Linked DNA regions of Neodiprion lecontei. The protein of the gene in region 2 purifies or fractionates together with the protein of the main gene of each other region. This does not show direct contact. Links are inferred from orthologs where the notes say so. Each region holds a gene or a part of one and is shown on either strand. Other genes may lie near its edges.

Region 1 (9,613 bases), on a different chromosome or scaffold from region 2:
TTAAATGACAACCACGTGCGTGGTTGGGATTTTAGAAATCCAACTGATCAGGTGTGGGCAATCCAGTCAGCTCACTCTCAAATTATAAGGTGAAGATTAATCAACTCATCTAAATATTTTCACTAAATTTTGCAAATTCAGCAACAATGTATTGAACCTACGACATTGCAGAGACCTGGATTTTAACACCAACCGTCAATACATCTTGTCAACCTGTGGTGATGATGGCTATATGAAATTTTGGGATATCCGACAGCCATCTGAGCCTGTAATGTCGCGAATGGAGCATTCTCATTGGGTTTGGAGTATCAGAATAAACCGTTTCCACGACCAACTAGTTCTAACATCTAGTAGTGATTCTCGAGTAATATTATGCAGTATATCATCTATTTCTTCAGAACCGTTTGGTCACCTAATTTCAAGCGAAGACGAACCTGCGCAAACCGATGATGGCTCCAACAAAAACAAGTAGGCGTATTCAATTTTATTTTTTTGTCACCTTATGACGCATGATGAGATAAATATCAATCCATGTTCGTTATTATTGGGATTCGTGAATAATTTTCAATAGAGCTTGCTCAATTATGTGCCCAGTACTTACACTCAAGGGTCAAAGTCAAGTTTTGATCAAGCATCGATTAGAGATCTATTACCGACTCTGAAGATCAATTCTATTTTATATAACCAACAATTTCAGAATGGAAGATAGCGTTGTAGGAAGGTACGAGGAGCATGAAGACAGTGTTTATGGAGTTGAATGGTCATCTGCTGACCCGTGGACTTTCGCGTCACTGAGTTACGATGGCAGACTGGTAATTAACAAAGTGCCACGAAAATATAAGTACCAAATACTATTGTAAATATTAAAAGTAATAAAGAATTAAATTTTATATAAATTTAGAAAAAACCTAGTTTTCATTTTGCGTAAGAGTAAAGAATTGCTCAACTGGTACAAGTGACGACCAATATTATTGATATACCAATCAACCTGCAGTTGATACAGAGTATTATGTAATTATTCGACATACATACTTTGTTACAACTCGCAAGAGATAATTGAAACCATGAGTAAAAATGTGAAATAATTTTTGTCATAGACAAAAGGTAGGATTTATATTCCTCTCTCTGAATTATGTACAATAGTTTGAAGTATTTCTTCCAGTGTACAAAAAAAAGTTAGCCACAAATACACATAATTATACGTAAGCAGTTTGTATCGAAGCAAATGAGAATTTGCTAATCTGTTACAATTGCTCAATCCAAATATTTAAGACTGTTATTTTCACTGACACGGTTTACGTTTGTTAGCAATATGGTAAACATAAAAAGAAAATAAATTTTGCTGGGGAGTTTTGACTGAAACGTTTAATTACAATCGCTCTGATATTCGGCCAGCGACATTCCTCAATTGACCATAAACTTTTGATGGTGGACTTCCCAAGATTAAATTGCAAATTGCTCTTCGTGCAAGTTGTATATTTTGGAAAGATCCAAGAATATGAATTTTAGTATCAGCCAAAACTATTCTTGTTTTTGTCACATTTTCAATGGTAAATTTTGTTCTACCCCCTTTGCCAGCTAACCTACCTATCGCTCTGGACAAATGGTCACCCTTCAGTGGTTTCACATCTTGAACCTCGAATGTTTCGACAAATAAATCATCCAACCGCAATAAGGCCAATGCATCTTCGACTTCAAAACCATTGATGAATGCCCGCACAAAATCAGCAGCTTTTTGAAGATTTGATATATCAGGTGTGTCAGGGCATGTACGAATTTCTACATTTCTAGATTTCAAATTAAAGCGAATTTGAAGTTGTAGATGCTCAACAACAGGGGTGAAGATCTTCATCCAATTCTCTTTAAGCGGTGTATATCTATGCGCAGGCACTGGAACCTGAAGAAATCACGTGAATTATTTTAACATGTTGTTGAAATGTTGACATTACAGTGAAACTTCCTAATAGCAAACACCTTTGAGACCAGAAATCTTGTCCGCTATAGAGAAGTGTCCGTTACTAAAAGGTATATTTTTCATTATGCTTTTCTACCGGAGACTTCTAACTTGTCCGTTATAAAGAGGTGTCCGCTGTTAAGAGAAGTTTCACTATATCGCGAAATGATCATTGGAATACTCACCTTCCGTTGCTCACCACCTTGGACATTTTTGGCTCGTTTGACAGAAGATTTAGTTTTCGACTTCCCTTCGATACCATTCACCGCATCGACCTGAAAATCAGCATGAATAAATTTTCCAATATTCGATAGAACAATAGCAGGTTATGATTAAAAGTGACGAAGAATACTGAGAACCTAAGAATTTGTAGTAACATAACCTCTTACTTCCATGTGAGTTTCACTATTCTGGCGTCTTTTTCCCGACGTCTTCGCCTTGGATTGTAATTCTTCGTTGGTTTGCATCTCGACATTGTTTTCAGTCATGTTTTACCAAACTTAATATATGTTTTAATTTTTATCTTACTTCAACTTGAAAACAAATGTCTGTAAAAAGTCAAAATAGCGTGGATATTTTATTGCAGAGAGCCAAAGATCTCGTTGGATCTTTTATAATTCTCAACCATAGACGTACACGTTGAGAAACGAAGGATAACTCGACTCAGCATTCTGTGACTATCAATCATAGACGATACAAAATAACCATGATTCGTACATACATACATATTCGAAATCTGACACATCACTTGCTCTTACTTACCGACATGACATCAAATTCATATTTTACGTTGATTTAATTTCAGGTACTAGCATATCTTCAGCATTATTCGTGCAATATTGATGGCAATTTTATTACTGACAACTCGTTAGAAAATAGCCGAATATACAGTAAGCTCTAAATGTGCGCCTGCAGGCCTCAGTAGTAATGCATGGGAATTTACAGAAACCTTACAGAGAAAATATAAAAATAGTTCGGTCCTGTAGAATTCCACGCCGAGATGGGGATTGTGGAGATGTAACAATATTTTATACAATTATTGAGCAGTGTCATTAGCGGCCGTCACTGCACCATGTCGACTAGCCAATAATTGCAGGCTAATTGTTGCACCCCCGAACTCTTCAGCACTCTACATATTTGTAGTTGCTTGTACCTAATGCCCTTATACTCAAGTTCAAGGCAAGCAATAGAGTTTTCATATATGTGCAATTTTAGTAAAAATGAACGAGATTGTGACTTCACTGTAAGCCTATTAGCTTCAACGTTGTTCTGCAGGATAAAGTTGATGTTCCTATGAATCCCAAGCCTCAAATATAAATAAAGTTCTGCACATATCAAACAATTTACTTGCCAGAAATTGGCGAGGCACGTGATAAAAATCAAGAAATTTAAATTACCTTTATCCCGCTGGTATACTGTTAGCTATGATGTCGTCATTCTGCCTTAGCCAGTCAAGAGAAAAAAAGTCACAACGATGTCGAAAAAGTAATTGAAAATAGTTTCAAATTGTATGTATGTAATCTGTACAGGATTGATCGACAAAGGGGTTTTTAATAATTATTAATAATCGTCTCTTCATATAATACATACGTTTATCACTGCGTTGAAACAATATGGAATTTTCCGTTGTACATGAAGTATTAAAATGTTTGGTCATAATGGTAGGCACATCTGAGACGACTACGCTTAAAATTTTTCACTCAACTAAACTCATTAATGTATATCTACCTTGAAAATTCTGTGAATAATATTTTTCGAACAGTCATCAATTTATCAATCATACATGATTGTTGATATATTTCCCCCGATCGCAATATTAGATTTCGACGACGGACGTATGTTATCTTTCATATTCACGAATAATCAAGTAACTCGGAAGTAATCTGTCGAAGGCCGCTTCGCATCAGATTGATTTGGATACCAATCCAAAATAAAAAAACCAAACCGAAAGACCTTTCGTTTCGATGCAGTCATCATATACGGATGAGTATTATTGGATTTATTTAATTCTCGACTTCATCTTTCGAACCTGCAATCAGAAAGTAGCTTGACCCTTCTACTCCAGGTGCCAAAGTTACAGACTAAAAGGTATAAAGTGCCTATTTGCAAAGCGATCGATGGGTAGAATTTCCGCCGATCTTACAATTAGTTTTTGGCGTACCATATTCTACTTTAATCTTAGGTATAAACTGACAGCGCAAGTCCGTAGTCTCGACCGGCAGCTGCTCATTTGAATTTACTTCGCATCGAGACGGAATGGGAATTGCCTCTACACGCTAGAACAACGTATAAGTCGTCGACTAGTTAGTTGAAGCGACCGTTATGATCCAATAAAAATGACAAATGATTCAAGAAATCTTTTATGCATCTGTAGTATTATCAAGATACACCTGTTCGAGAATCCGTAGGATAGATTTTATCGTACGAAAGAGTTACGATTGTGAGCTTGCGAGCCTCTACTCGCCTGACCCAGGTATGGCAATATATATTGTGTATTTATACATTTGATGATGTTCGAAAAATGAACAGTGTTACGATGTTCAGAACAATTATGTAAAGCAGATATTATAAACAGCTTTGCAATTACACAAGTTTAGCAATGTTTTTGCTAAAATAGCTACACAATTGGAAGATCTGAATTCAAGCAATACACAGCTATGTCCGGAGGTGATACAAATTGTAACGAGCAAATGCGGTAACCGTGGAGTGCCACTAAAGTCTGGGTCAGTTAACGAAAGATGGGACGCGAATATAAGGGCGAAGAATGAGAGAAGCGGCACAAGAGTCGAGTTTAGAGACAGTGTCAGCGTGAAAGTGGAAGAGGGAAGCTCCCTGGAAGTGGAAGTGAGTGGAAGACGAAGAGAAAAAGAGAAGGTTGTCGGGGGGGGGGGGGGGGGGGAGGGCGGCGAAAAACCATGCCATCACTAATTCCGCAAACCGTTGGGTAGCGTGGCTGTAGCAGTGCATCCCCAAAGGTCTAAGATGAAAATTCTGTTCTAACATAACCGAAACAAATTAAAGCGAGCCGAACTTGTCGAGTGCATTCCCAAGTACACGAAATTCCGTTAAAAGAGATCTTCGGTTTCCAGCATTCCTACTACCTGAAATTGTCATTAAGCGAACGCGGTCCGGCGTAGCAGAGACCCGTGAATAGTATATTGCCTGGAGGAAGATGACGCTCGACTAGAACTAGAGAGCAAGTTTATCTGTTGGAATAAAGCCATTACCTGGATAGTACACGGTCATCCTACGGGTCCTGGGAAGGAAGGATGGTGGGCGGGTTGGCCGGAGCGAGGGGGGTCCGCGACCGAGAATGGGCGGCTGGTCGTCGTTGCAGGGTGGCTGCCGATGCCGCTGCTGGCTGCTGGCTGCTGCCGGTCCTGCAAGGGACGGGTTGGATGTGGGTACTTGGATGTGGATCCATCCGGGCGCTGGATGTGTGCGCGTCCGTTCGTCGGCGTTGTCGGCGGTTCTTGGGGGGCTCAGAGGGGCCATGGGAGCAGGGAGCACGGCGCGGGCCGCATTCTCTACCTGTGTGGTAAAACGCTCACTCAGGACCCCAAGGGGGATTCTAAAACAAAGACTACTCAACTACGACCACGTTGTTCTAACATCACCCTCATTACGAAACAATTTCCACATCCCTTTTCGATACTTAAAAAACACCGCCAGCTTACCCACCCGTCCCCGTTACCCGGTACCCGGGACCAGGTCCATTCGCTACCTTCGCCACTATCGGCCGCCGGGCCCATTAACCAATTGTCATGTGGTTATTAGTAGGTATGGTTTCAATAATAGCGTGGGACTGCGAGCCGGGGACACCGCGTGAGAGTCAGCGCTGTTCCTTCCTTCCTTCGTTCGTTGGATCGTTTTTTACCCTCTTATATTCTATATACCTATACAGATCCAAACCTAATCACGTTTTACCTGCCGCGTCAGCCCGATGGATGAATACCGCATACGTTGAACCGTGCGGGTGCAGTTATATTCCCAGAATCTTGCTGCCTCTGACAAGGATCGAATTATTGGCGCGCGAATACCGAATTACAGCGTATACCTAGGCATCCTACATGTATCTCGAGCCCAACGATCCGCCCGGAATATTACTACCCTAGGACGCGCCAATTACCCGGGCTTCGTTTCTCGACTACACATATTATGCCCCTTCTGCATAGCCCTGGGCCAATACGACGCGAACCACGCAACGGTGGCACACGAAATAAAAGAGTTATGCCTGCGGAATTATACGCTTCTGTCGTATATATTTCGCGACGCGGTAGTTCTTTGCTCACCGGGAGACCCGGGACGCGCACCTTTACGAGTGCAAATTGCATTCTTTGACAGACACTTTATTCCAGGGGCTGGACAAATTGTTCAAGCCGTTAGAAAACAGCGAATCCCTTACAGTACGCGTTTCTCCCGAGCGATCAATTTTCCCATATTATTCCACCTTGCGAGTGTTAAATTTTGGCACCGTGCGTCTTCTCTGGAGAAACAGTATACATTTATTGTCCCGGTAAATAAATTCAAACAGAGTCTTAAAATAAGAACAACAAAACTTCTTTCCGGCACCTTGGCATTGCGAATATCGCTGGTATTAAGGTAGTACGGTAAAATTTATTTGCTCAGTGAACGTCATTGGTAAGCTATCAAAGAATTTCGTTGTATAATAATACTTGCGAAATTCTTTCTTTGATCTAGCAAAAAAATTCTCGTCATACTTTACACTAACACTGTTCTGCTACGCTAAGAATTTCGTTCTCTCTCTTTCTTTTACTATTTTTATTCACACCTTTAAGATATTCATGTGTTTGAACTTCGACGCGATTATTTGTTAATTAGAAACAAACTCTGTATAATGGCTGCCTAAATCGTAATAGAAGAAGCTTCTTGAACGTTGAACAAACAGTCGGACGATGATGTTAAGTTGGCAGATTTCTCCTTCGTAGAAATTGAACATTTTTTTCTCTACTCGATGAGTGCTTCGTCAAACACGTTAAGTATGTCTCATCGACGGTGACTAGCTATATGAATACACCCATAGGCAATTATAGGTCTCTCCAAGATTGCAGGTATGTAGCGTTGTACATGCGTACGTATAAATTTATAAATCACCAACAAAGTATGACAGGAACGTTCCAACTTAATTGAGGTTCCCACGCGAATTTAAGGATCACGGATCTTCTTTTCTTGCCACTTCGGCAACATCCATTGACAGTGAATATGGACTTACATGATTACGCTCGCGTGCTGACGTGTAAATCACCGGCGTTCGACCGAGCTGCGAGAGTTCAAATCGGAAATCTTGATCCTCTCCATAGCAATGTAACGTGACTAGATGTACGCTCGCACACGGAACACGCATCTTTGGTGAATGCGTACAGATAAGATGGAAAAAAACGTGCGTGTGTACGCATCGAGTGATACTGAAACATCTTCGGAGACTAACTATTTGGGTTACCAGAAAGCTTTGGGGCAATGAACATAGTTGATATTTCCAGCTCGCATCGGAACACCATAAATCGACGTCCTTAACTAACTTATAACAAGATCCTTCTTTAAGCCAGACAACAACAGCTGAGCGGTCAACGGACGTCTATTATCATAAAAATCATTGACGTCACGTTGACAGCTAACATAGTTTCTCTTCCTTTTCTTTCCCTTCTTTTTCTAACCTAACCGAAACGGCTGCTAAATAATATGTCTACATATATACGTATACGTATTATATACTCTCAACATAACGAATTCCAACGCAGGTTTGATTTCACACCACCACTCAAATATTTCAGAACGCGTTCAAACTATGTCAATTTTGTTTTTAAGACACACTTTAGATACAGTATCGTAGTGATTCATACGGTAAGTACGGTAGTTTACGTTATATTGAATGTTTTAAATTCAAAACCAATCATTTATACGTCAGAGCCGATATTAAAGTTGTCTGACAGTATGTATTTTGCAGGTCATTACCTCGCTTTGCTGAATGCGGTGGAATTCCAAGAGGAAAGAAATAATGTTGCTTATTAATTTCGAATGAATCTGACCTCCTTAAATTAATCGAAATCTGACTCATTGACGAATACAAGAAGCTCGTGAAGGTGGAAGCTAAATCGCGTCTATAGACTTGTAACAGAAGCTAGAAATATTTTTTTGAATCATATTGGTTCCGTTATGCTTGTAAGAGGAATGGACAACCCACCGACGGTTGATTTTTTTTCTTATAACTTTCGAAACCAATATATATTTTTTCCCGCAGAAAAATTTCGAAGTTGCGGCGATAGTGCTGCTAAACTTTGACAAACCTTGGTAACAAGCTATACAATTTGAGTCTGTTCAAATATGTGTCCCTCTTCTGAAATCAAAAGTTGAAAGCTTTAGAATTTGTTTGCACAGTAGCTTGACCCCAATTCTAGATACGATATTCTTAAACCATTTTCAACGAATGGTTCCAAAAGCTGAGATTCTTTTGCAGGTATCATGAATTTTGAGTGTGGATTTTCACGGGTCGTAACTAAAGATTAAATTTTATTATTCACTACGAGTGTACAGGGAGAACGAAGTGAATAAGGCCGCGGAATGTAACGAACGAATGATCTGCAAACGTAACGAATTCGTTGCTTTGCATTCTTCGGAGAGCCGTTAGCTTTTACGATCTCAAAGCCAGCCTGTTCCTGAAAAATATAATCAATTGGTACCAGTTCTTAGGCGTGTACACGACGTTCTGCAAACTCCTGTAGAATAAAATGTTCGACATTATCCCATGATATTTATACTTTAGCTGCAGAAATACGAAGAAGTCTTGATAGCAGCATGTTCAATATTATAAATTCCATCGTATTCACATACGTACACCGGTTACTAATTAATCAATTCAATTTTCGGCTGGATTGGTAAGTAGGTGAACGTTCACAATCTCTTGTGCAGCGGGGTTACCAATTCCGAAGATAATGATGCGCTGCGCAGTATCCCACACTCTGCAGGGGCGTTAGGTTCCATTTGTAAGCCAACTGCTAAAAAGAAATAATAAATGGTTCCAACGCCGGTTACCGCGATTAAACAAACTAGCTCGAAAGGTTTTAAGTTGGAACGTGTTTGTACCTAAAATAACGAAAGAATTTACGTCGAAAGCCGGCAGTTTATCTCAGAGTTTTATCGCGAAGACAGACGCGAGAGATCCTTCCATAGCTCAGAGACTGACAACAGAAAGTCAGTTGTAACCGGAATCCGTATACATACATTGTATTAAATAGCAGAGTATCAATTACCATCCTGTTTTTAATCCACCGTACACATCTGAACTCCGTCGTTTAGCTGCAGCGTATGCGTTAGATTCGCAAATTGCGCAGATCGTGTGTTTCAAGTGTACCAGCAACGCTCTTTTAATTTTTTTTTTTTTTACTTGTACTGAAAGAAAAATGCATACGAACGTCTAAGTTTAAAATAAAGTCATCTAATTTATGATGAATATGTATAAACTGTTTTTGACATCGAAAATTGGTTTCTCTCCTCTTCCCGTACCTTATTTTACGCACATAAAAACGTCTGTGCTTTCGAGATGACCACTCGTCCTAAATTATTATATATATATATGTATATAATGCAGGTTTTTTCTAGGATTTGTGTTAACAAAAAATTGTTTCCGAATCGGCTGTCAAG
Region 2 (12,017 bases):
ACATTCTCCATACTGTAGCCACCCTGTGTCTGATCATAGATTATTATTAGCTGTACGAATTTTTCGGTAAAGAAATCTACATAAAAAAACGGAAGGAGTTTGAAATATGAGTTCTAGAATATTGACTACACGTTCTCCATTGTTTAAGGTGCCTTGAAAGATATGGATAATTATTTCTTTTTTCTTAAATAAAAGTTACGTGTTCGAGATTTTATTTCCGTATAATTCCATGTTTATTTGTATGTGCAACCTCAATTTTATTTTAAAACAAATAACGTAGCAGATATTACCTAGACTCGTAGGATTTCAGCAGACTTATTGTAACAGATTGCAATCCAATCCGGTTGTGTTGCACCCCATTGGATCTGATTAACTTCACCTTCTGCAGCTGTGTACGCAAGAATTGGATCTTCTATGGCTCTTGGCATCTGCTGAATGTCCCAAATTAGTGCTTGGTGATCATCACCAGCCGTACAGATATGACAACTTGAATGCGGCGCCCAAGCTATTCCATTTACGCTTGCTCTGTTATAATAAACAAATCGAAAATATAATTATTATCTATAGATTATCTATATACATATATAGTAGATATCATGATCCATAACTTTGGAGTGAAATTGTTTATTCTATACGTGATTCTAATATTGATACTTTCAATAATGTTGTACTTTCGAAAACTTGGTGATCAGGAAATACTTTTTGATCAAATTTATTGTCATTCGGATAATATACCCAATAAAAATAGGAAAAATGATCACGAGTGAACTGTTGACATTAATATAACAACATAATATATTCAACATGACTATTTGATTTATCAAGTTGGTATCGTTCAATATGTAATTTTTTAAGATTGCTCTGTTGTCCATTTTGACCAATAAATAGCAGATTGATTCAACTATTGGATGAAAAAAAATATATTTTCAAGAAAATGTATGAAACAGTTTTCCAAACAAAACAAGTCAGCGTGAACGTTACAAATTGAACGAATCTATTGAAATTGTCACCGTTTGAAGTATCTTGAAATAAAAAAAAAACGGTGTTGAAGTTTCTGTTCGTAATTTCAGGCTCTATTTCTTTTTGCATTTCTAGGAAAATTACTGTATTTGTAAATATAATTTTCTTAAACTTGACTAACTTATCTTAAATGGTCTTAGATTGAATGTGAGCAAGAGTACCTACAACTTCTTTGATGGGACTGTGCTATAAAATTCACGCTATATGTAATATTGATAGTGGAGCATTGCGGCTTATTTTCCTTGTAACAATGTTTCTTCCAAGAAATAATTTCCCAAAACGAGAAAACTTTTAAAACAATTTGAAGCTACATTTGAAAAATGACATCATTGAAAATTCGATAGTGTGATGAAGGCAAGTAAGAACTATTGTGTCATATGTACCTGTGGTTATTTAGCCTAGCGACTGGTGTGCAAGGAACTCGAACATCCAAAATAATTACTTCGCACGCATCCATGGCAACGGTGGCTAAATAATTTGGATCTTGTTTGTTCCAGGCAAGGCGCAACAGTGGCGTATGCTGAGGATCTTCATATATAATTGTAGAATGTTCCAAGTGGCGCAAATCAAACATTCTCACAGACCCGTCAGCTCCTACCGATGCAAACATATCTCTTCCTCCGCCTGCTCGACTGAATGCAATATCATAGACCTCCTTGTCATGAGCAATCAATTGTGTTTTAACGTGACCAGCGACCACACTAATTCTCCCAACTACCTGCCCAGTTTCTAAGCCCCATATTGTGCAAGTTGTATCAATACTTGATGTTCCAACTAAATTTGGATCCACTTCATTCCAGTCGAATGATGTGAGGGGTGCACAAAAATCCGAATTTTTGTTATTATTCAGTACACACTCCAGTCGTGTTTCTGCGTCTATTGCACGCCAAACCCGCAGGTAATCTCCAGATGTGGCCAGCAAATCAGGAAACAGAGCTGCAACAAAATGTGTGTTATATTGAATATACCTATGAAGTTATTGATTTATACGATTGAAATCGGCCACAGGTTTTATCAACTTATTGTGCATGAAATCATTCAAGATTCATTGCAAAGAAACGATTCTTGATGAGGCAGCAAATTTAACAGGTGTGGTTAGTTACAGTAATCGATGCCACAATTTATTGTCTATTTAACATAAGGCTGAGCTTTGAGGTTAAAGTTTATAGCAGTGATGTAAATGGTTCCCGTAACATACAAATTCATAAACAATGGAACATATAAATGTGAGTTTAATACAAATTGTAGACTAGATCTAACTGTGAAAGTCTTAGATGTACAAAGCTGCACTCATGCTTGCAATTGTTTATTGATATAAGTATTTAAGATTAGTTATGGTACTATTAACGATATTTATTAATTTCGCCGAAGATAGCACACTACAGATTGACTCAAACTTGCATACAAAAAACTATCTCATTCAAAAACATGGTTTCGACCAAGCAGAAAATACCAAAAGAACTTCATGCCTCTGAGCATTGACATAAGAGGTTAATAAACTGTTGGCGATAATTCAAACCAAAAAAAAAAGCGAATTCAAATAAAACAAGTTTTGTATCGAAGTCTGACTGTGATAATGACATGCTGTTTTCAACATAATGATCACATGTAATCAATAATTCTTGAAAAAATTCTAGAAGATTACATCAATGAAAAACAAAAGATGACCAGTTTGTTCAGCTTTAAACTGAGTTATTTACTTTCAACAGTATTATACAATAAAGTGAGCTCGTTGTTTTACTTTTTGAGGATACAGTTGGTATAAGTGAGCTACGTACACTTGGCGTCAGGTATCCACATTATTTTGGTCGTTGGATAGGGATGATCGAAGGTACTTTTGGCAGTAAACTCGGAAGTTTCCTCATCGAGCGAAACAATCTGTACTTTGTTGTTATATTCTTCAACGAAGCTGCCTAATGCTAGACGAAATCTTTTGTCGGGGCGCACCGACCAGTTCATACTGTAAAGTGGCCACGGTGCTTCATATTTGTAAATTTCTTTTCGCTTTGGTGGAACACTATGTAGAGCCATTTTTTACCAACAATTGTTGAACTATTCAGTTCAAGTATTTACAGCATTAAAGCAATTTCTGCTTATTGTTTTTCTTCTCACAGAATAGCCAAGACCGAAATTCGGATCTTAGAATGCTACCATTCTATGGACCGGAGAGGATTTAAATTTGCGACTATGTTACTCAACTTTCAATCATTGTTGACATTTTATACACAAGAGTAATACAAGATTGAAATCTTCGAAATCACTAAACTATGTGACGATAAAATGTGAATGTTCGTTCATTTAAAACTCGTCCTTATGCACATTTGTTCGGAATTTTTTGTAAACACAATGGCAATCATAAAGTAAACACAATCGTATAGATCATCGACTGTAGCAGTTCACTAAGTCACAAATAACGTTCCGACTGTTCAGCTCCAGAAGTACAAATACTTAGACACTGACCCCTTCGATATTCCTAGTAGTTTTTTTACGACCCACCAACACGGGTCGAATTTTCATGGGCAGCAAAATGCTTCTACAGTATTTGCTGTCGAAATTTTCACTTTATTGTAAGTATGCGAATAAAGCAAGGAAGCGCTACTTAAACTCGGAGCAAACCTCTATCCGTGAGCGCTGAAACCGGACTACCGTCCCGTCCCACTCAGGCACGCTACTCGCTCGCTTTGCGCTTCTGGTTCTGCGCATGCGCGCTGCTCGCTTACTTCCCCCACTCTCTCCCGTCTGGCACGCGTGGTGCGGAGACTACCCCACAGTACAAAAATAATGGCGCGCAGCGTCTAAATAACGTTCACTATACTGCACATATGCATGGCGACAGAATTTCTACGCTCACCATGTCATATAATTTTGAAAAGGTCGTTTATATTAGATCGCCATATCAATCGCTAACATACCAGCTGAAGGTGATTTCGTTTACTACTAGGGTAAGATCTATGGCATATATGAAAACTAGCTTTACTAAGATGATTTATTGACTAAGGTAAGTGTACCAATTATCGACACGTCTAGACCCAATGATTCATCCATTTATTCTTCTAAATTATAAATTGAAGGCACACATTGCAAATTTCTCGATGACTAAAACCAATTCCTAGAAGGTTAGACACTACAAATTTATTTTTAATAATTTTATAACTGAGGATTAAGCATATGCAACCAAAAAAGGTAAATAATTGGGCCAGGGTCAATAACTGGGAAGGCTGGCAGGTTTTGTGCAAAAATTAAATCTATCACAAATATTATTAGTTAAGAATTACCATTTTCAATTGTAAGCCCGACTTTTCAAGCGACAGGTATGCGAAAGCAAGATCCACGTTTATCATTGTAAATTACGAAGTATCTGTTAATCAGCATAAATTTAATCAAGTCCACACGTAAATGATGTGGGCAAACGTATAAAAGAAAAGGAAAAATTAATAAAAGTAAAATATATAGTTAGCCACATCGGATATCGCTCTAGCGCGCTACCCGGTGCGCCACGGACTGCGTTGTCGGATGGTGACCGTTTAGTGTATATAACACGCTCGTAGTATTTCGAAATTGATTTTCTCAAAAACTATAGACTTTGAAATCGAACGTCTTTGGGGAATTGTTATTCAAGTCCTCACTGCTCAGTATCATAAGTATGAAAAATATGAAAAATGTCATTAGTGTAGCGTTCCCTTGTTAGAGCATATATACTAAGAGGGTGGTTACAGAGATGATAGCCGACATATACCTCTCTCTGTCACTCCTCCGCTACACTTTCTGTACACGCGAAGCTATCTCCAGTAGTACATGCTCTAAGGTGACTCCTCGCCCCTAAGAACATATGCTTCAGTGTTGGTTATGTATGTGATTCTAGCCACTATTCCACGTGCTGTCATTACTTCTCGATTCATCATTGACAATAAATTAAAATAATCATTGTGAAATGGGTAAAGCGAAGAAAATAAAGGTTTCGAAGCGAGATCGTCAGGATGTTAAAATTGGCTTAGCAGAACTGATAAACAGCGAAAAAGTGGTTAAGCCGAAGAACAGGACAAAAATTAGGCATCGACAAGATGAAGATGAAGAAGTATGTGTAATTCATCACAAATAAAAGTGGTTTTTTCATAATATCAGTCTCTGAAATTGAGTCGAACAAAAATTATCCCAGTTTTTCATGAGGTCGAAGTTCGTCACGTTAATTTAATGACGCAATTTTACAAAACATTTCCGGACTTTAGAATTTACATCTCAAATTATGTAAACCGTAATGAAGCAAAACATTCTCAATTTTTGAAACATCAACTCTTAGGTAATCCTATGGTTGCTAGTTAATAATTAGTTGCTCAATGTTCCATTTAGTCAATGTCACCAATGTCAAATTATTATATTTTTGTTACTGTTTAATAATTTTACACCAATTACAGATCATGAATATATTCTCCGCATTGTCTAAGCAGCTTTGCAATAATATCTTAGAATGCATGTTCTGTTATTGTTTGCTACATTTGAAAGGATCCTATAATATTGCTAAATACTATAGAATCTCAATTATCTGAACCTTAGGTCTTCAAACTCTGAATTATCCGAACATTGACTCAAAAAAACATTGTTAGCACAAAATATACATTGTTGTTCTCTGCCGTTTGATGAGAACCTCGCATGTTTGAACATACGTGAGCAGATTTTTCGTTTTTCGGCGCTATTCCACTTGTAATATTACTTCTACCGATAAAATAAGCGTTCGGTGTTTGAAAGAGATTTAATATAAACTGATTATAGATTCAAATTTGTGTTGTATATGTTATCATATCTTGAGATGAAAATTGCATTCCAGTTATTCGAACTTTTGATTAACTGAACTAGGCTCGGTCCCAATTAGTTCGGATAAAAGATGTTTTACTGCAATGGCTTAGCCTTTATAAACACATCGTGACATAAACATTACGATCCTCAGCCTCATAAAAAATTTTGTTGAAAATATCTAACGTTTTCTTGACATTTTCATTCAATATATGTCCCATTGAAGAATTATCTTTAAGCTCTACAGCATAATTTTTGTTATAATTTTAGACATTTTGTTTGATTAATTTTCAACCTTGCGTGCACATCTTGATAGATGCTAGTGCAATAAAAACATAACAGTATGAAAAATAAAAACTTGCTGTGTGGCTTTAAAAAGTATCACCTCAATAATCTATACAAAAACCCTGCAAATTGTGGTTTCTTAAGATTCAACAAAATATTAACATTTCATTCTACTTAATATGCCAGCAATGTGTTTTAAAATGGACCCCTCCAATCAATGTGGTTTTAGCCTGTGCCAACCCATTTACAAGTTTTTGCCAGCATGATCTGTCTGTTACACTAGGCCTGGCTCGATTAAAAATTGTACCTGTGTCCGCATAGGTGGTGACCACGTTGCTTGGAAGTGTCTGTTTCAAGAGGCATTCATGATGTTTGTGGCAATTGCATGAGATAAAATCATTCAATTTTCAAAATATTTACTTCGGGCGATTTTTATACGTATCTGTTTTAACCACGATTTTCACCTGACAATGAGTGGTTATTAAAGTAAAATGAATATTTCAGTTTGTCGACTCTGGTCTTTCACAAAAGATTTTATCACAAGCCAGGCGTCAACAAATGGAAATGGAGGAGGAGGAGGATGAAATGGAAAGACCTTCGAAGTCTCCAAAAAAACCTGTTACTAAACTTGGCAATGATGATAGCGAGGGGCAAGCAGAATCGAGTGAAGATGAAACAGGAAATCACTTTTACGACAACATAGAAATTAATGAAGAGGATGAACAGGCTTTGGAAATGTTTATGAACAGAGATAAAGCGCCGATGCGAACTCTAGCTGATATCATAATGGACAAGTTGACTGAGAAAAAGACTGAAATTCATACACAATTCTCTGATGCTGGTTCCATTCAGATGCAGGAACTTGATCCAAGGGTTCGACAAATGTATGAAGGAGTTAGGGATGTGCTGGCTAAATACCGCAGTGGAAAATTACCAAAAGCTTTCAAAATTGTGCCGAATTTGAAGAATTGGGAGCAGATATTGTACATTACAGATCCTCCTAAATGGTCTGCTGCTGCCATGTATCAGGCAACTAGAATTTTTGCATCCAATTTGAAAGAGAAAATGGCACAAAGATTTTTCAACCTTGTTTTATTACCTCGTGTCAGGGATGACCTTGCCGAATATAAAAGGCTGAATTTCCACCTATATCAAGCATTGAGAAAAGCTTTATTCAAGCCTGGTGGTTTTATGAAGGGCATACTATTACCACTTTTAGAATCTGGTTCTTGTACACTGAGGGAAGCTACCATAATTGGTTCGGTGATTGCCAAAAATTCTATTCCAATTTTACATTCGTCTGCAGCAATTTTAAAAATTGCAGAAATGGATTACACGGGTGCCAATAGCGTTTTTTTGAGAATATTTTTGGACAAAAAATATGCCCTTCCATATCGCGTCGTGGATGCTGTTGTATTTCATTTTCTGAGGTTTGTAATTTAGTATTTATAATTAGTTCTTCTTGTTACAAGAATATACCATTATTTTTCGGATTTGACAATTCAGTGAAATAGATATAGAGAAAAATAATCAATTCTAATTTCTGTGTTTTTGGTTGAAATGAAAACTTGTAGAATATCACTTTTGGTTTGTAACTGCATCAGTCAGTCTGGAAAGTAAATTGATTCTCTATGTGTAATGAACATGCGATAACTAATTCTTATTAGTTATTTTGATCAGTCAAAATTACACTTTTAATGGTGTGGCTCCCGATCACGATTCTCGGACACTAATGATATGTAACACATCCAATGTAAAGGTAACAGTAATCAATCGATTAACAATGTAAATGTTACTTATAAAATTTCAGATTTAGCACAGACTCAAGAGACTTGCCTGTTCTGTGGCATCAAGCACTTTTAACTTTTGTTCAGCGTTACAAAAGTGATGTCAGTTCGGAACAGAGGGATGCTCTGCTGGAATTATTGAAGAAACAATCACATCACTCGATTACTGGTGAAGTACGGAGAGAACTGCAACATGCCAAATGCAGGGATATTGAAGCTACAGAGCCGAAGAGTGAACCTATGTCGATTACATGAGAGGCTATTCTCGGAATTGGCTCAAGATGAGATGATATTAAAGTAATTACGCCTGTAATTCATTGTTTGTAACATGTAAATATTTAATAAAATGTCTAACATAAAATAAAAACCGTGTATCTTGATCAAGAATGTGTCGATTAATTTAAATAAATATTTAATAAAATATCTAACATGAAATAAAAACCGTGCATGTTGATCAAGAATGTATCGATTAATTTGAGTCAAGTCACTGAAGTTTCTTTATGTGTTTTTTAGTCAGATTACAAGATATTCAGTCATAATTTCAACCATATTTTATATGTTTGACGTGTTCTTCTTGAAAGTAAATGAGCTTTTCATGGACAGAGATAGGGATACAGCATAGCTGTTTCTGAATGTATATTATTATATTACATCTACAATATTGACATAATATTTCATCGTACAGCCAGGACAAAAACAAATACTTATCACTTATCCTCATACACTCTTTTCGACTCATACATACTTCTAATTCGAAACTTTTCATAGAGCTATCACAATCGACACCTCCAACTAATCATCAATAATATTCATCACTAATTAAGTACGACAAATATAAAATTGTAGTTTTCATTAAAATGACAAAACGGGAAAGTCGATTCGACGCAATATATAAAATAAAGTACAAAATATTCGTATACTGTTCAAACTAAACACATGGGATAATTTATGTGACTCCACATATACAGATATCAAATATGCTGTACCTCAGTGTCAGCGGTTTTCTGTTTCAAATTACAGTAACCATCAGATATCGTTTACATAATTTAAAAACAATCATATATTTACATTAATATCCTTCATGCATCAGGTGGAACTCAAACACATGTCATTGTTAATAGGATGCAAATCCACAGTAAATGACAATTAGCATTGAAGGTAGCTGTTTTCAAGTATTTGAGAAAATAAAAATGAAGTGCATGACTCTAGATACGAATTCACAAATAGAAATCATAAAAATATGCAATAAATACTGGATATAACACAGTTCAGATATCCAGATGAATGACTTCAATTTAAAGTAGCAAAAGTCGATTCTTGATTTGGATTTCCTGCGTGTAACATAGCTGCGAGTTTTTCAATAGAACTGCATGATAATCGTAAAATATGCTATATTCTAGATTATTATAACATTTCAATATTACCCTAATATGACTTTTGCAACTTTGGCTTTGAAAAATTACAATTAGTGAGGAAGAAATTTTCTGACAATTTTAAATATTGGTTACGAAAAAAATTATTGCTTTTTCGGACAGTCTTTTAAAATAAAGGATATTATAGGAAGCAAAAAGGAGCTAACCAACCAATAATGAAAAGGCTATAATATTACAAAATATATGAGACAAAAAAACACTCGCTTTTTTTCTTTTTCTATTTTAAGTATTACACAAGTTTCAATTGTAGGATTCGTTTGTTAGCTCCTTATTGCGTAAAATGCGTAATACTAGAATTTTATATCTAACGTATTCTAAGTTAAACATTGCAACAGTACAGGATAAATGTCTTCAAAAAACGTCGAGTGTTTACTTTTCACTTGATGTATTAATCTTCGCAGATCAACACCCTAAGTCTTGAATCTTTTCTTTTTAATTAATTCGAAATTCATCCCAAATGTTGAATACTTTTGTATCAGGAAAAGAAAATCGAAGGAATCAAACTCTATGTAAGAGTAATAATAAAATATAATTCGATAATCGTGAAATGTGTTAATATAAAATAAATCTTACTTATGCATTTAATGGAATAAATGACTAATTTTCGTTGAAATATTTTGAGCAACAGTTAACTGACGCAGATTTTGAATTACGTTTGACAGGTGAGATCAAATTATATATTATGAATCCATTGTGATGATTGATTACCATTCTAGATTAACAATTGCGGGGTTTTCTGGGCTATTTTTCCAACAATGTAAGTAGATAATTGAACATTGCTTAACCTTCAAATTTCCTTCAGATATTTTTACCAATTCAAATCTAAAGTTTAACACCAATAGGAACGCAGAGACTTCTCAGAATATTTTGAAGATCTCTTATAAATTTGGAAAACCAACTGGCGATTGATTGTTTCGTTGACTTGGTCACCGCTCATTTCTTCTTAAAAAAACTCGAAATATTCTTTGAACCAGCTGCTGCCTTCTGTCTGGACATCTCTTTCTTCGAAATGGTCAGAGGTTTTTGGGGCTACAATATTTGAAAAGATATTTTTAAAATAATCTGACACTTAGCTCTGGTAACTGATACATTTTAATTCACTGTCACTGTGAGCTCATTTCATGTAAATTTATAGCGAAACTATATTTCATAACCAAAATTAATATAAGACTACCCGATCGAGTCATTTGTTTGATTCCTATTTCACAAGTGCTAAGGCCTACGTTTGTTTTAGAAATTCATCAAGCATTTGACCAGTAAGTGTTCACAATTTATTATCCATTGAGCTTACTAATGTGGAAGTATAATATTTCAATTGGCAATGCATTTCAATGAAGGAAAAGTTGACTTTAAATTGCTGGTATAAAATGTATATTTTTTGTTATAACGAGTATATGTATATTCAGAGTACAGGGAAAACAGGAAAAACATTTGCTATGATTATCAAAATAAAGACAGTTATGAAATAATTTTATATGGTTTAGGATTGGAATATTCCTGCTCTTCATTCAAGGTTCATTACGAAAATGTAATTTTTTACTGTCATACAAGATGTATATCTTTGATAAATACTGAAAGTTATTGAAATCTGTTTTATTATGAACATCGATTGTTGAGTGAGATAATGCCCTCCCCTGAAGAAACAAGTCGCCTCAGTGAAACATAATGAAGACAAGATTTGACGAGTTATGAGTTCTCAGATGCAAGTCTTCCAACAAGCCAGCTAATGAGAACAAAACTAGTTTTCATACTGTTTCAACAAATTGGTTAGAATTTCCTGAATTAAAGCAACCTTTCCAATGCATAAATAGATATTGTTAACTCTGTTTAGAGTCTAAGAAATCAATAAATAAATTTCGTTAATGATACAAACGACTGCTTGATGATCATGTCATGATACTTTTTACACAGCTAGTGTATCCGAAGATATTTGCCACCTGATCCGCAGCCCTACAATCTAAGTTCGCTCACTTATGTCTTTAAGTTACAAAATAAATTTTGCATGAGAGGTTACAAAAACTAAATGTTGTCAGGGTTTGTAATCAGTTCTTTATACTTCAGAATAATTGTCAAACAAGGAATGATTTTCACTTATAAAAGTCACTTTTTCTGGGTTTATTGAAAACTTATTTTATATTCAATCTGGGACAGCAATGTTCATCATGCTTGTCACATCATAAACTATGAACCGATATATCATTAGAAAGCCGTACAAAATTAGGTCTTTGCATGGAAAAAAAGAAAATACATTTTTTAGATGAATATAAAGCAGAGAAATGTAAAACAATATGGTGGAATTTTTTGTTTTTTGTCAAAAAAGATGATTGCAGATGTTACAAGCAATTGAGTTTCACTGATTCTGTAATATATAAATTTACCTTAGCACGGGTGACGTCACATCGTTGTAGTTTTGAATTGGTTGTATTGGCTTCAATTTTCGTTTAATGGAAAAAAGGTTTCTCTGTTTTAAATGCATATAAAATTTTTATATGCAAAGAACAAAGTGTCTAGAAAGCTTGCACAATGAATTTTTCACCTAATTCTGTGAGATCTATTAAAAAGTTGTCATATGAAAACAAATCCCCGAGATTTTCAAATTTTCTATAATTTAGCATACGTACATACCTTTTCAGGTTTTGTTAAGTCTAGTGCTCCATTTCTTGGGATAGACTCTGACTCTGGTGTGTCTTTTTTAGCTTTCTTA
Region 3 (11,718 bases), on a different chromosome or scaffold from region 2:
TAATTGCAATTTCCGTTGTCTAATTCTTCTGTCGTGCCACGTACCAGTATTATTTTTCACACATCACATGTACCGACGTATGCATGGTCATATCTCTTATGACACCGCAAATCCCGCCAGCTGATCCGACCTGGATAAGAGCTTTTTTATTTCGCATAATAATTATTTATCTAAGCCGGCGCTTTCGGTCTCTCCAATTTGAATGACGAGGAGATTACGATTTCTTCGCTACGCGAACGTTCGAATACTCCAAGCCGAGAGATAGCATCAATATTACTCAGAGGTGTTGATTTGATTTAGTCGCGATTGTGGTTGCTTTTTTTTCCCCGTTGTTTCTTCGTGTTTTATATCCCCACATCGCTCGAACATAAATAGTTTAATTTTTGAACTCATTAATTCGTTGATTTATCAACAGTTTCAACTCGGCGCAATGGTTCGTAATTAATTAATTAGTGATAAAATTTTTATCAACATATTTGTTTATATTTTATATTCGCCTTATTTTTTTTGTACAATACATAGTTTCTCCGAACAGTGTATAGTTGATAATAAAGACGAGATTACGATTAATTACAATCGACTCTGGCATTTGCTAGTAAATAAGTTGGGTTATTCCTATTGCAAAGTTACACATGGTAAAGAGATATTAAAATTTGAGGTGGTACTGACCTAGGCATAAATAATTAATAATGTTCAGCAGGCTATTCACAGTTGGAAAATCATCATGTATCCACGTAAATGATTTTTTTTTTCTAATCTAGATATTTATCTTTTTCTAGCATTCCATGGAAATTAATTTCTCGTTTAAAACTCGTGACGCCCGGTGAAGAATAATAAAAAAAATAGAAAACATTAAAAACACGAACCATAGGTTTTTACAATATGCACGAGTTCAAATTTTAATTCCTAATCTCATTCAACGCGGTCATGAGAATTGCGTCAATTGAGCACGTGTGTACATGTAAGCTACTACGCAAATAAGTCTGTCACTTGCCGTTAATTCAATTGCAGTCACATATAACATACGGGCATCAGATTCTGAAAAAGGCCCTCAACTCGGGTCAAAAAGTCAATTACATCTTTTCATAATCGACCTTCACGTTTAAGGCATTACGATACTCGAATCGAGGTCGAGAACTGTACGACAAAAAGAATCGTTAAAAACAGGTTGATACGAATTGTTCCAATTCAGAGAAAAAGTAATAACGCTTTGTTCGACCTTATTTTAACCACCTAAAAATAGAAAATACTTATTAACGGAGACAGACTGTTTGCTGTTTATAATTTAGCAGTTAAAAAATTCAATCGCTTCGCAAAGATTGAAGCAAAAAATATGACAAATCGAAACTGCGGTCAATTTTGAATTGTGCAGAACCTTTGACGAAGACCGCCGATTGAAAGAGATAAAGTTCTCTGAAGCTAGATAAAACTTTCGTCAACTCAAAGTTAACTAACATTTAAAGATTCAGACTCGATCCAACGAATGTACGGACAACTGATTTTGTATCAGTGACTAATACGGCATTGAAATGAAAATGATTTGTAAGTGAAGTAATTATTTGATCGATAGAAGACGAGTGAATTAAAAATTGTACGTCGGAATTCAACGGCAGTTGAATCGCGTGAAAATTTCAGTCTTGCCGTATGTCGTAACAATATTTTCAACGATAATTTAGTAGAGTCAACAGCTGTAATAATAAATTACAGTAGAATTCAGGCCGCATCTTTTATTGCTGGCAAGACACGATCGAGGAATAAAACGTCGAGTGAAAAAAAAAAAATTAATTTTCTTAGATAAAAATCGAAAGTCTTACGGGTTAAAACTTATCGTTTATATTGCGCTGCGGATGTACATAAATACAATTACGTAACGAAGGATGGATGGAGAGATATTGCTGATTAAGAAATACAGAAAGCGTTCGATCAAGTTTGAAATTTGAACGTGAAGATAAATACGCTCCTGTTATCAAAAGCAGTGAAATGGTGCAATTACGATTACGTTTCGCGATATCTTGTACGGGACTTATCTCAAGTTTTAAATTTCATCGATACTTTCATGATTTTTCATGATCGAGAAAAAAAACATGCGACGATGTTTGCGGAAAAATATTCGGGATTACTTGAATTTTCATTTTCAATCGCGTAAATACGTTTCTTCGTAACGACAAAGATCTCAGAAAGAATCAGGTTTCTAATTTTACTGATAAGATTTATTGTTTTCAATAGGAAAAGAATGTGAAACACAGAAACAAAATTGATTATAATTTCCGATTAAGTAATATTCCAGATTTCTTCGAAATTGAGATAAATTTGGTTTATTGAGCAGTTAATGATAGTAGTAAAAAATTCGGTAACATGTCTGATTCTCCTAATGTACGAAAATTTGAGAAATAAATCAAGAAATAGACCAGCAAATTAACTTATTATTGGCCGGTCAATTTGAGGAGTGTGCAGAACGTCGCCCTTCGAAGAAATCATCAGGAAATTGATCAAGATGAGACCCTGCGTTCAATAATGCGATTTAACGCGAGTTTCTACGGCTGCTAGTGACCTAAATCAACGGAAAATACGTAGAGCTTCCCGGGACTTAAACTTTTCTGGTGAATCAGAATATCTTGTGAGCCAAACCACAATAAAATTAACAACACCACCGCTGTTTTGTATGTAGTTGTATTTTCTGGAGCACGATTTCGCGAGAATCTTATAAATTATAATATACCTACATAATAGGGCCGTGCGGGTACCAGAATTTCTTGGGTCGGAAAAAATTTATTGATTTCGAGTAGGGTTCTCGAGATTTTCGGAATTCCGTGAACATCATTGTTGTCAAAATTTTCAAGATATTTTTTTTGAAAATATTGATGTTATTTGGATATACTAATTTATTATTAGTATTTAGTATTTGCCCAATATGATAACTATTAGGTAAGTTAGGTTACCCACGTTTAGGGTTTCTTAGCAATTTCCGGTTTCCCCACTATTCTGGGATTTTTTTATCGAGATTTCGGGAACCCGCACAGCTTTACCGTATTATTTAGCTGATCGATTAAAAGAAAATAGAATTTCACTAGATTATGTACACATACACGCGAAAATCAAGCATCGTATTGTAAACCTTACATTCACCCAATAATCGATTTTTCCTTTACAGAAGTTCCGCAGTAACACGTCCAGACAATTATTCACAGCCCCAAATACCAGAGCCGGTAGATTCTCTGATGGTGTCGCGATTTTCTCTACGACTTCTGGTTGTGGCGCTGGCCTCACCCTTTGCAAGCGTTTTTCTAGAGTTGTTTTTCCTCGCTCTTTTCTCCAACGATGATCTAACTCGCTTTTTAATTACATCTGGAGCGATTGTAGCTGCTGTTGAAATACTTCTAACACTTTGAGCCACGCTCTGTGCTTGGCTGTAAACCGACTCGTCGTCCGATACATTGCAGTTTAAATTTGGGGCGAAGACATCGGTTTTTTGTAAATCGTTATCCTCTGCCAGAATAGATTGCTGTTTTCCTATTGTGTCGACTTTGATATCTTTTGGCTCGGTATTTTTTTCCGTAGCTTCTGTAGTTTTGCCCGATTTTTGAGAATCCCCTAGATCTGCCTTGAAGTCTTCTTCCGATACTTTCTGCACTTCAAGTTTCAATTTTTCAATTTCATTTTCTAGATTGTATCCGTCAGCTACTTCGTCATCGTTATCTTCGCTATCCATGTCATCTTCATTTATTCCCATCTCTATAAGCAGATCTTTTTCCATTTTTTTTGTCAACCCACTTGCGCTTACTTCTATGTCTATACAGTCTTCACGCCTTAAAGGAGGAAATTTGGAATTAAATATTTGAACATGAAATATGGTATGCAGTTATCACGTGAAAGAGTGAATAATAAGCCATTTAATACTCACGAGATATCCGAAAACTTTGGATGGAATTCACTTTCGTATGCGAAGCGCCTTCTGAAAAAGTCCCGAATACAGTTCACATCTCTGTCGAACATTAATTCAGCGTTTGGATGCTGTGTTGAAATCATTTGAGGGAAGTCAATTATTACTGGCTTTCCTTCGTTGGTTATCATGATGTTGAATTCGTTGAAATCTCCATGAATAACACCGTGATTTGCGAGCTGATAAATAAGATCCATCAGATCTTGGTAGAGACCTTCTACGTCATCAACCTCGTAAACGCCACACCTGTCCAACATATTTAAAGTATTCAATACTTATTAGTTTGTTCTCAATTTATTCTAAATTTTCAGAGTATTCCTGCATAGTTTATTCTGTTTCATACGAACCTACTTTTTTTCAACTATCATATAGTTTTTGTTAACTGAATATTAATATTGTCGATTTTGGACAAAAAGTCGAATTCAAATTATAAATAGTTACCGTTTCAATAAAAAGAAAATTCCAGATTGTAGCAAAGAGTATAAAGTATCTAAGAATGCTCTTTCCGAATTTAGAGTCAATCGGTTAAGCCATTTCTAAGATATCGTGGGCAAAATATATCACCAAGCGAAATTGACGTTATTATTAATAACATTGTTTCCGGAAAATTGAGTCTAATGAATCAAAAGTGAATGAATCTCGGTCTACAAACGTTTAAATAAAGCAAACTGCAATTGAACTGAGTAATTAGTTGTCCGCACATGATTCACGAAATTCACCCACTTTTTCAGTTATTCACTTGCGCAGACCTCGCTACATACAGGTCAATAGAAAATTAGAAGTTTCCCACAAATTTTGAACCGTACATTGGTTTGCCGTCAATAAGCTCCATAACGAGGCAATGTCTATTAAAATCGATGGGCTTTGGTACAGGAAATCCTCGATCAAGAAGTGCCTTCATGTAGGCGAATTCCCGTGTAGCTGATATTCGAGAAAGGTAGAGCCAAGACATGGATTTTCTGTGCTGATGATAATCTCTTTTATCCTTTATATTTCTGAAACAAGTGCGTCCCAGCCTGTGTAGCTTCAAGCAGACAGGATTTCCTTCCTCGTCAGCTACTACATAGATATTCGACTCTTTTCCAGTTCCAATCTGGTTGCCGAACGATGAAACGACACCTCGCGTTGCCAGAACCTTCAGAGCCAGATAGTCGTACCCTGAATTAGTCAGACGATAACCGTCATCTGTAATGACAATTTTGTTAATCATGAAAGTATTCGATTCGACTCTATAGATTCTGTTTACGAATAGTAAAAAGATGAGTTTTGTAATAAAAATAGTAATCCAAGTTGTCTAATAATTTTTTCTGAAAATAAATCAATAGGTAACACTCTAAAAGCCTTTGAAATGATGAAGTAAATGGAAGTTACGGTCCAAAAAGCGACCGGCACTTAAAGAAGTCTGCAGTTAGCAGTCCTATGATCCAGCAGATCAACCGAAATTCCCTAATCCTGCTTGTCATCCAGAATAAAAACCACTCACAATGTTTTCCACGTTCGTAACTCAACAAACGATGTTTACACAACTCTTTCAGCAATTTGTGTACTCCGCCATGCCGTAGATTAGCTATCTGAGCAGCCAATGATCCTGGAACAAGTTCGTGATTCTTCATTCCCATTTCAATCTGAAACAATTCATAAAATTATGATTTCAGAAATGTGTCAGAATTATTAGGTATAATTCGATTATTATTAAGGGAATTTCACAAACTGTGATCTGTACATTGAAACAATTTGAGATGAATAATAGAGTCTAAATTGCATGTCAACTTGGTATCGGTTCTCACAAAAGTAAGCGAAAAGAAATTGAACCGATGTGTTGTGTTCAACCCTTAATGATTGATAAATGGATAAAACATAGTTTTATTGATCTTGGTTTGCATCAACAAAATCTACATGTGACGCCTCACAGATATCACACCGCAGATTTGCATTCATGGACTACTCGACTGCAGAAATAGCGCTGTACTCGAGTTCGAAAGAAAAATAAGAGTGCTTTCATTGATACTATTAATTTCACTCACGGCTGTTAGGACGCGAAAATCTTCACGACTTAGGTAACGCAACATTGTCACGTTCAACTTTCCCATGATGGTTTTTAGAGGTTATGTTCTTAGAGGTTACGGTAATATGTTTCGCAAATTTGCAGACACGTGTCAGAGCAGTCAGCTCTTTCTTGCTCAACGGAGCATACACTTGTAACACTTTTTCACTTTTATTCTAAAACATATTATTGAAACTCTTTTGGCTTATCGTGTATTACACTGAGTGAACGAACAAATGGCACAAGTCAGAGTTAATTAAAAGCGGTACTCATCCATACTGTGCGCCCCTCTCTCATGGTCGAAACTCAGTTCCAAGCAGTTCCATGAACCTATTTTACTGTAATTTTGTATGTCAAATTGCATACCATTAGGCGGTTACATACGCATATCTCTTGCCTACAATTAGGCTGTTAGTGATGAGCAATCCAGGTTGCTTACCTGAGTCTGGGTCAGTGGCGTAGCAACCATGGAGCAGTTGGAGCAAGATGCTTCTGAGCGAGGGGCGCACGCTAGGGTAGGGCACTGCGGTGGAGTAATCTGTGCCCGGCGACTGAATTCTCAGGTTCACCGCCAGGTGGCGGCGCTTCGTAACTTCACTCACAAGTGAAGTATAGTTGAGCGAGTACTTGACTCCGAATGCTCCCTTTGTTGTTACCGGGAGGTTACCGGTGGTCGTTGAGTTGAGTCGCGTGCGCGAGTGGAAACCGGTCGATGTTGTGAGAAGCAGATGAATATGAATGGTTATAAAGGGCACTTCTCACGTACGCAAAAGCGAGATTGCTGCGTGTTGAATGTGGGATTCGGGGTGAAATCGTGCAGCGTGTTGACACTGTAAGTGAAGAGGCGGTTGGAGAAGGAAGCCATCGAAACTCCGAGCTTGAGTAGCGTGGCCTAAATTAGCGAAATCAATTATAGAAAATCCTCTGCGACTGATGAAATTCCGCCAGTTACACTGTTTTCTGACGTAATATTACGACAGTACGCCGCGCCCTCAGGGGCTCATTTTCACTCCAAATGAATAAGCAGATCCACATAAATACATCTGTGCCAAACGCAACTTCGATAACAAATTCGGCCAATGAACAACCTTATGCAAATGTTGATTGCAACACTACCGATCAGATTGAGCTAATTTTCACAATGTTCGCCGCCGGAATCAAACAACTAATTTTTAAACTTGGTCTGAGTCTACCAGTGGGTAGTGTTGCTAAAGACACAACTGGTCGTAACAAGAATCGAGGGTTCAGCGCGAATCTTTATACAGGTGAGGGGCCGATGAAAATCACAAGATGATGGTTGGGTTATTCGACAACAAGAAATATTTTTTCTTGTCGGCCGTATTGGCTCTTTGATAAATCGAATTCAGATGCGAAATTTGTAAAACGAATCGCAGATTCGACTCATTTAGGTCGCGATATTGAATCACATGAGGAATCAAAGCAACGCGGAATTTCTTGCGAAATTTACTATCGTTGGCAGAATTATTAGCGTAAAGTAAGGAACTCAAGGAACTGATAAAGACATAGAGAAATCAGTTGAGATGCTTTCCACACTCATTATTCAGTTCGCAGACATGAGAAATGATTGGGACTCCGTGAAGGCTGGGATGCGATTGAGTTGTCAAATACATGGAAAATTGAGCCCATTTTTCCCGAAACGCGAGTACGACGTATTAGGCGATTTTTCGACGAGTTGCGGGGAGATGAACGTACTTCTAACTATGAGAAGCGTTTCAAAATTGAGGTGTTTGATAGAATGCTAGATGTAACAATTACCCAACTTGACACCAGGTTTCAGTCTGTTAATCGGTTGAGTGTCAATTTCAAATGCCTATAACCCCCGTTTTTATTACAGTCATCCGATGGAACTATTCTGACTGCATCAGATGTGCTGTTATCAAGGTATTCAACGGAATTGTCAGCAAGCTTGTGTTCAGAACTGCTCCGCTTAAAACCTAGCTACAATAGTCATCTTCCAAAATTAACTTCCATTCGCGGAGTAGCGGAACTGCTTTTGATTCACAACCCCGCATCAAGTAGTTTCAGTGATACAATTACTGCATGCACAAGTTTTTGAACCATGTCAGTTACTGCAGCAGCATACGAAAGCAGCTTTTATGTTTTAAAATTTATGGAAACCTATCTGAGGCATAGGATGTTGCAACATCGTCGAAGTTCTTTGGCAACGTTGTCAATCGAAAAAAAAGATAGCACGCCAGTTTGACCTTGAAAAAAATAATCGACCAATTTGCTGAAGCTAAGGTTTAAAAGAAAGTTTTAAAATTACTAAAAGGTAAGCCTAGTTCTGAAGTTGTGAGTGGGACTAATAGTAGAATATATAACATTGCGTACATACAATTGAAAAAAAGTCTAGAATCATGCAACTTGCAACGTTTACAATCATTTTTGTTGCACAACTACGCGAATTAAGGTCCATCGGGTCTCTGTTGGAGACTAAATTGTGATTTGATGACAATCCGTTGGAGTGTCAATTACGTAGCTTGAATTACGTGCAGGATAATTTTGCGTAGAATTGAGAGAGTATAAGGAATAGCTTTCTCCCTTCAGAAAGTTACATAGATATCAGAAGTATTCTCATTTTTTTTTTAACGAAACCCAAGTGTCCACTCAATCTACAACTCAAATTTTTCTCTAACAATTTTTGCCTAACAAGTTTTGCCTAACAATTTTTGCTTTTTGATGGATTCTTATGGCGCGTCTCTGCGTGAAAAGACAATTGATGAAATCCTCATACATGCGGAACGTGATTCATTCTATGCGTATTTATATCCGAGCATTTACCCACCACCATACGTGCAGACGGTGCTTTTCAGTTCAGTGAGAACAATTCACAGAATTTTTATTTATTGCGTTTCTTTTTAGTGAAATGTGCAAACAATTTTGCGTATTTTCGTTTTCGAAGATATGTCGTAATTATAATATCAGAGTATTGATCTTCACATGAAGTCATTGCCTCGGAAAATCAACATGTTTATGAGGCCATAGGCAGGCATTTGAGATAACTTCAAAAATTTGGTTCATTGTTTCAAAGCAGTGATTAAACTTCCACTTGACCGACTTCACGTGACCTCGAAAACGAGAGATCGATGATTGTTTGGCAAATGTATTCTCTATATCAAACACATGCATTACTGCTATCGGTGACCTGCATCTAGCATTTATAGCGGAGTCTCCGAGATAACGTAATCATTGGTATTGTTACATCGAACAAGTTATGTGGGGATTGTGTCTTATAAACTCTGCTGCGTGCTGTCCAAGAGCATAATTTATAATTCGTAATTATTATCACAATGCATTGACGTATTGTCGGGATAAACATTGCTTTGGTATGCTTGGACGTGAAGTGAAGTTAATTTGTAGACGCCTTTTCGCCCGTGAGAAAATTAACCACTTTTACGCGACTGAATACTTCGATGTGCATAATTCCGGTTTCATCACTTCAGCGCAATCAAGCATTCCATTTTCATGCCAGGCACAACAGACAACACACTGCGAACCGTTGAGATTATTGGAGTTATAAATAAAGAAAAAAGGGGTAACTCTCGTTCAAGTTCATGGCAATTATTCACTACTGTTTGTCGCGGTAAGCTGTAGAGTGTTGAATCGTTGAGTGTAAAGTTTGGTGTAGAAAAGTTTCGACTCTTACCGCAAATCGTGTACCTATCTTGAAACGATGGAATTCAACGATTTGGTCGCGAAGATGTTGTCCATGGCGTTGATATTCGGGGGGAGTATCTTCATCGGAACATTACCCGTATTATGCAGAAACTGCAGTGGACAACGAAGGCAGGTCTCCTCTTCATTGCTTTGTCTTGGCGCTGGAGTTTTATTTGCCACTTGCGCGCTGCACATGCTTCCAGAGTCCATACAATCTCTCCCTGCCTTATACGCAGGGCTATTATTCTGCGGCGGGTTCTGTTTACTTTACGCGGTGGACGAAATGATTTACCTTATACGGGGTCGACCCATCAACTTGCCGCACGTCCATCGACCTGCAACAAGTCGCAGGATCAAGCCCACGTAAGTCTAGAGATCTCTGAATCGGTGATCTTCACTGAAAACTGTGCAGTAGGACAGTGTAATAGAATTAGTGTATTTCATGAGGCTAGATATGATTGTTGGGTTTGCTCCGATGAAGAAAATCTGTGCGACATTTTCTTACGGATAAAACTGAAACGAAACGTAAACTGATGCACGACAAAGATATTCAGACGATTCCATTCAAAACAGTAATCATATTCCTTTCAGATCAATACTTCGACGGAATGATGATTGTAAGGTCACTGTCAGAGATGCCAGGGAGGGAAATTTCTCCAATGAATACGTCGGTCACAACCCTGATTCTCAAGTTTCTTATCAGGCTTACACTCACGGCAGACTTCGAGATCGTTCGTACGAGCCAAATGTGAAAAACACATTTTCCAATCAGAGAAGTGTATCTGACAATGAGGTCCACTCTACGACACCTTCGACTCCATCACTTTGGCCCGATGAAAACGAAACCTTACTTACTCGTGAAGCACACATCGAACCCGATTCTGATTTTAACGCGAGTCTACCGGGACTCTTGGCGGCGTTGGCCTTGCATGCGATTTTGGAAGGAGTTGCCATTGGGGTACAGACAGAGACTGCTAAGGTAAGGATTGCTTGATGATACCCATGGCGAAGGTCTTCACTTAGGTATTTACTTAAGCTGACAATTTAACAATTGAGGGAAATTACATTTTTAGGTGTGGCTCCTCGTGATAGCAGTAGCTGCGCACAAATTGGTCGTCTGCTTCTGTCTTGGCGTCGAAATGGCAAGATCTGTATCAGTTTTGCATCACGTATTCGCTATCGTTCTATTCGCAGGCGGCTCAGTAGCTGGGATTGGTATCGGGATGGCGGTTAAGGAAGTAAGTGTTGAATGAGTAATACTTTCAGATTGATCAGACCGCCTAAACAATCAACTCTTCATGGTTTATAATCGAACGCTTTTCGACTTTCTTCCAATGTTGCAGAACAGCCAAGATTGGGTAACAGTGATACCCGCGCTTAATGCTGTGGCTGCTGGGGCACTTCTTTATGTGGCTCTCAGTGAAGTTTTGCCGAGAGAAAGAGCCAGATGGCAGAACACTCCAAACCGCTGGGCAAGAATTTGGCAATTTATTTTCTTCGTATCCGGCATTGTCATAATATTCATAATCAAGAAGTATATAAGTGAGTATTCTTACGGTACCTCATTCGTTGACGCTACGAATAGTTGAAGTTGACAGTATTTTTTTTTTTTTGCAGAGGCGACTTAATCATCGACTGGCAACGACTAACAGCTTCTATCTCATTGAACAACCATCGACTATAAGTTCCAGAAACGTATCGTAAATTACATAAATAGATCGTAGTGTTTTATATTTTTTGTAAAATTTGTATTTAATAATATGATAGATAGACATTCTGTTTGCTGACTATTCAATCTGTATCTTCTGTTTAGTATTATGCGATTTGAACCTAAGTTTTTGAGAGTGTCCTCCAACTTTTGATTCGTCGCATTACCATAAACCCACATTCCATTAGTGGTATTATCTATAGTTCCATAAATATCTCCCAATATCAGCCCTAGTGATCCAATTTTCTTGATTAGTACATCTTCTGCACAATTCACGAAAACCGTACGTTTTTAAGCGTCAATTTTTGATCGATCTTTTATCTTTGGAATTTCTAGATTGTGTACTTT

The links.
Region 1: the proteins of bystin (region 2) and RNA-binding protein pno1 fractionate together in Homo sapiens (co-fractionation; 4 studies listed by BioGRID and IntAct, with this or other methods). This does not show direct contact. The link is inferred for Neodiprion lecontei from reciprocal best matches to the Homo sapiens genes BYSL and PNO1.
Region 3: the proteins of bystin (region 2) and serine/threonine-protein kinase RIO2 purify together in Homo sapiens (affinity purification with mass spectrometry; 3 studies listed by BioGRID and IntAct, with this or other methods). This does not show direct contact. The link is inferred for Neodiprion lecontei from reciprocal best matches to the Homo sapiens genes BYSL and RIOK2.

The regions. Positions count from the first base shown.
Region 1 is NC_060262.1:28,526,354-28,535,966, reverse strand, and holds RNA-binding protein pno1, read right to left. Parts: upstream 2,578-9,613; 5' UTR 2,443-2,577; coding exon 2,344-2,442; intron 2,230-2,343; coding exon 2,140-2,229; intron 1,898-2,139; coding exon 1,370-1,897; 3' UTR 861-1,369; coding exon of another isoform or gene 698-860; 3' UTR 501-697; downstream 1-500. Other genes in the region: EARP-interacting protein homolog, read left to right, coding at 1-89, 172-468, 698-860. UniProt on the Homo sapiens protein: Part of the small subunit (SSU) processome, first precursor of the small eukaryotic ribosomal subunit.
Region 2 is NC_060263.1:25,728,678-25,740,694, reverse strand, and holds bystin, read left to right. Parts: upstream 1-4,831; 5' UTR 4,832-4,951; coding exon 4,952-5,095; intron 5,096-6,597; coding exon 6,598-7,523; intron 7,524-7,903; coding exon 7,904-8,135; 3' UTR 8,136-9,324; downstream 9,325-12,017. Other genes in the region: DDB1- and CUL4-associated factor 7, read right to left, coding at 291-525, 1,404-1,956, 2,799-3,051; ribonuclease H2 subunit B, read right to left, coding at 10,327-10,342, 11,692-11,774, 11,939-12,017. UniProt on the Homo sapiens protein: Required for processing of 20S pre-rRNA precursor and biogenesis of 40S ribosomal subunits. May be required for trophinin-dependent regulation of cell adhesion during implantation of human embryos.
Region 3 is NC_060262.1:6,597,509-6,609,226, forward strand, and holds serine/threonine-protein kinase RIO2, read right to left. Parts: upstream 6,431-11,718; 5' UTR 6,031-6,430; coding exon 5,965-6,030; intron 5,566-5,964; coding exon 5,424-5,565; intron 5,126-5,423; coding exon 4,747-5,125; intron 4,187-4,746; coding exon 3,902-4,186; intron 3,807-3,901; coding exon 3,179-3,806; 3' UTR 2,655-3,178; downstream 1-2,654. Other genes in the region: protein zntD-like, read left to right, coding at 9,679-10,025, 10,254-10,641, 10,736-10,900, 11,006-11,204, 11,280-11,290. UniProt on the Homo sapiens protein: Serine/threonine-protein kinase involved in the final steps of cytoplasmic maturation of the 40S ribosomal subunit. Involved in export of the 40S pre-ribosome particles (pre-40S) from the nucleus to the cytoplasm.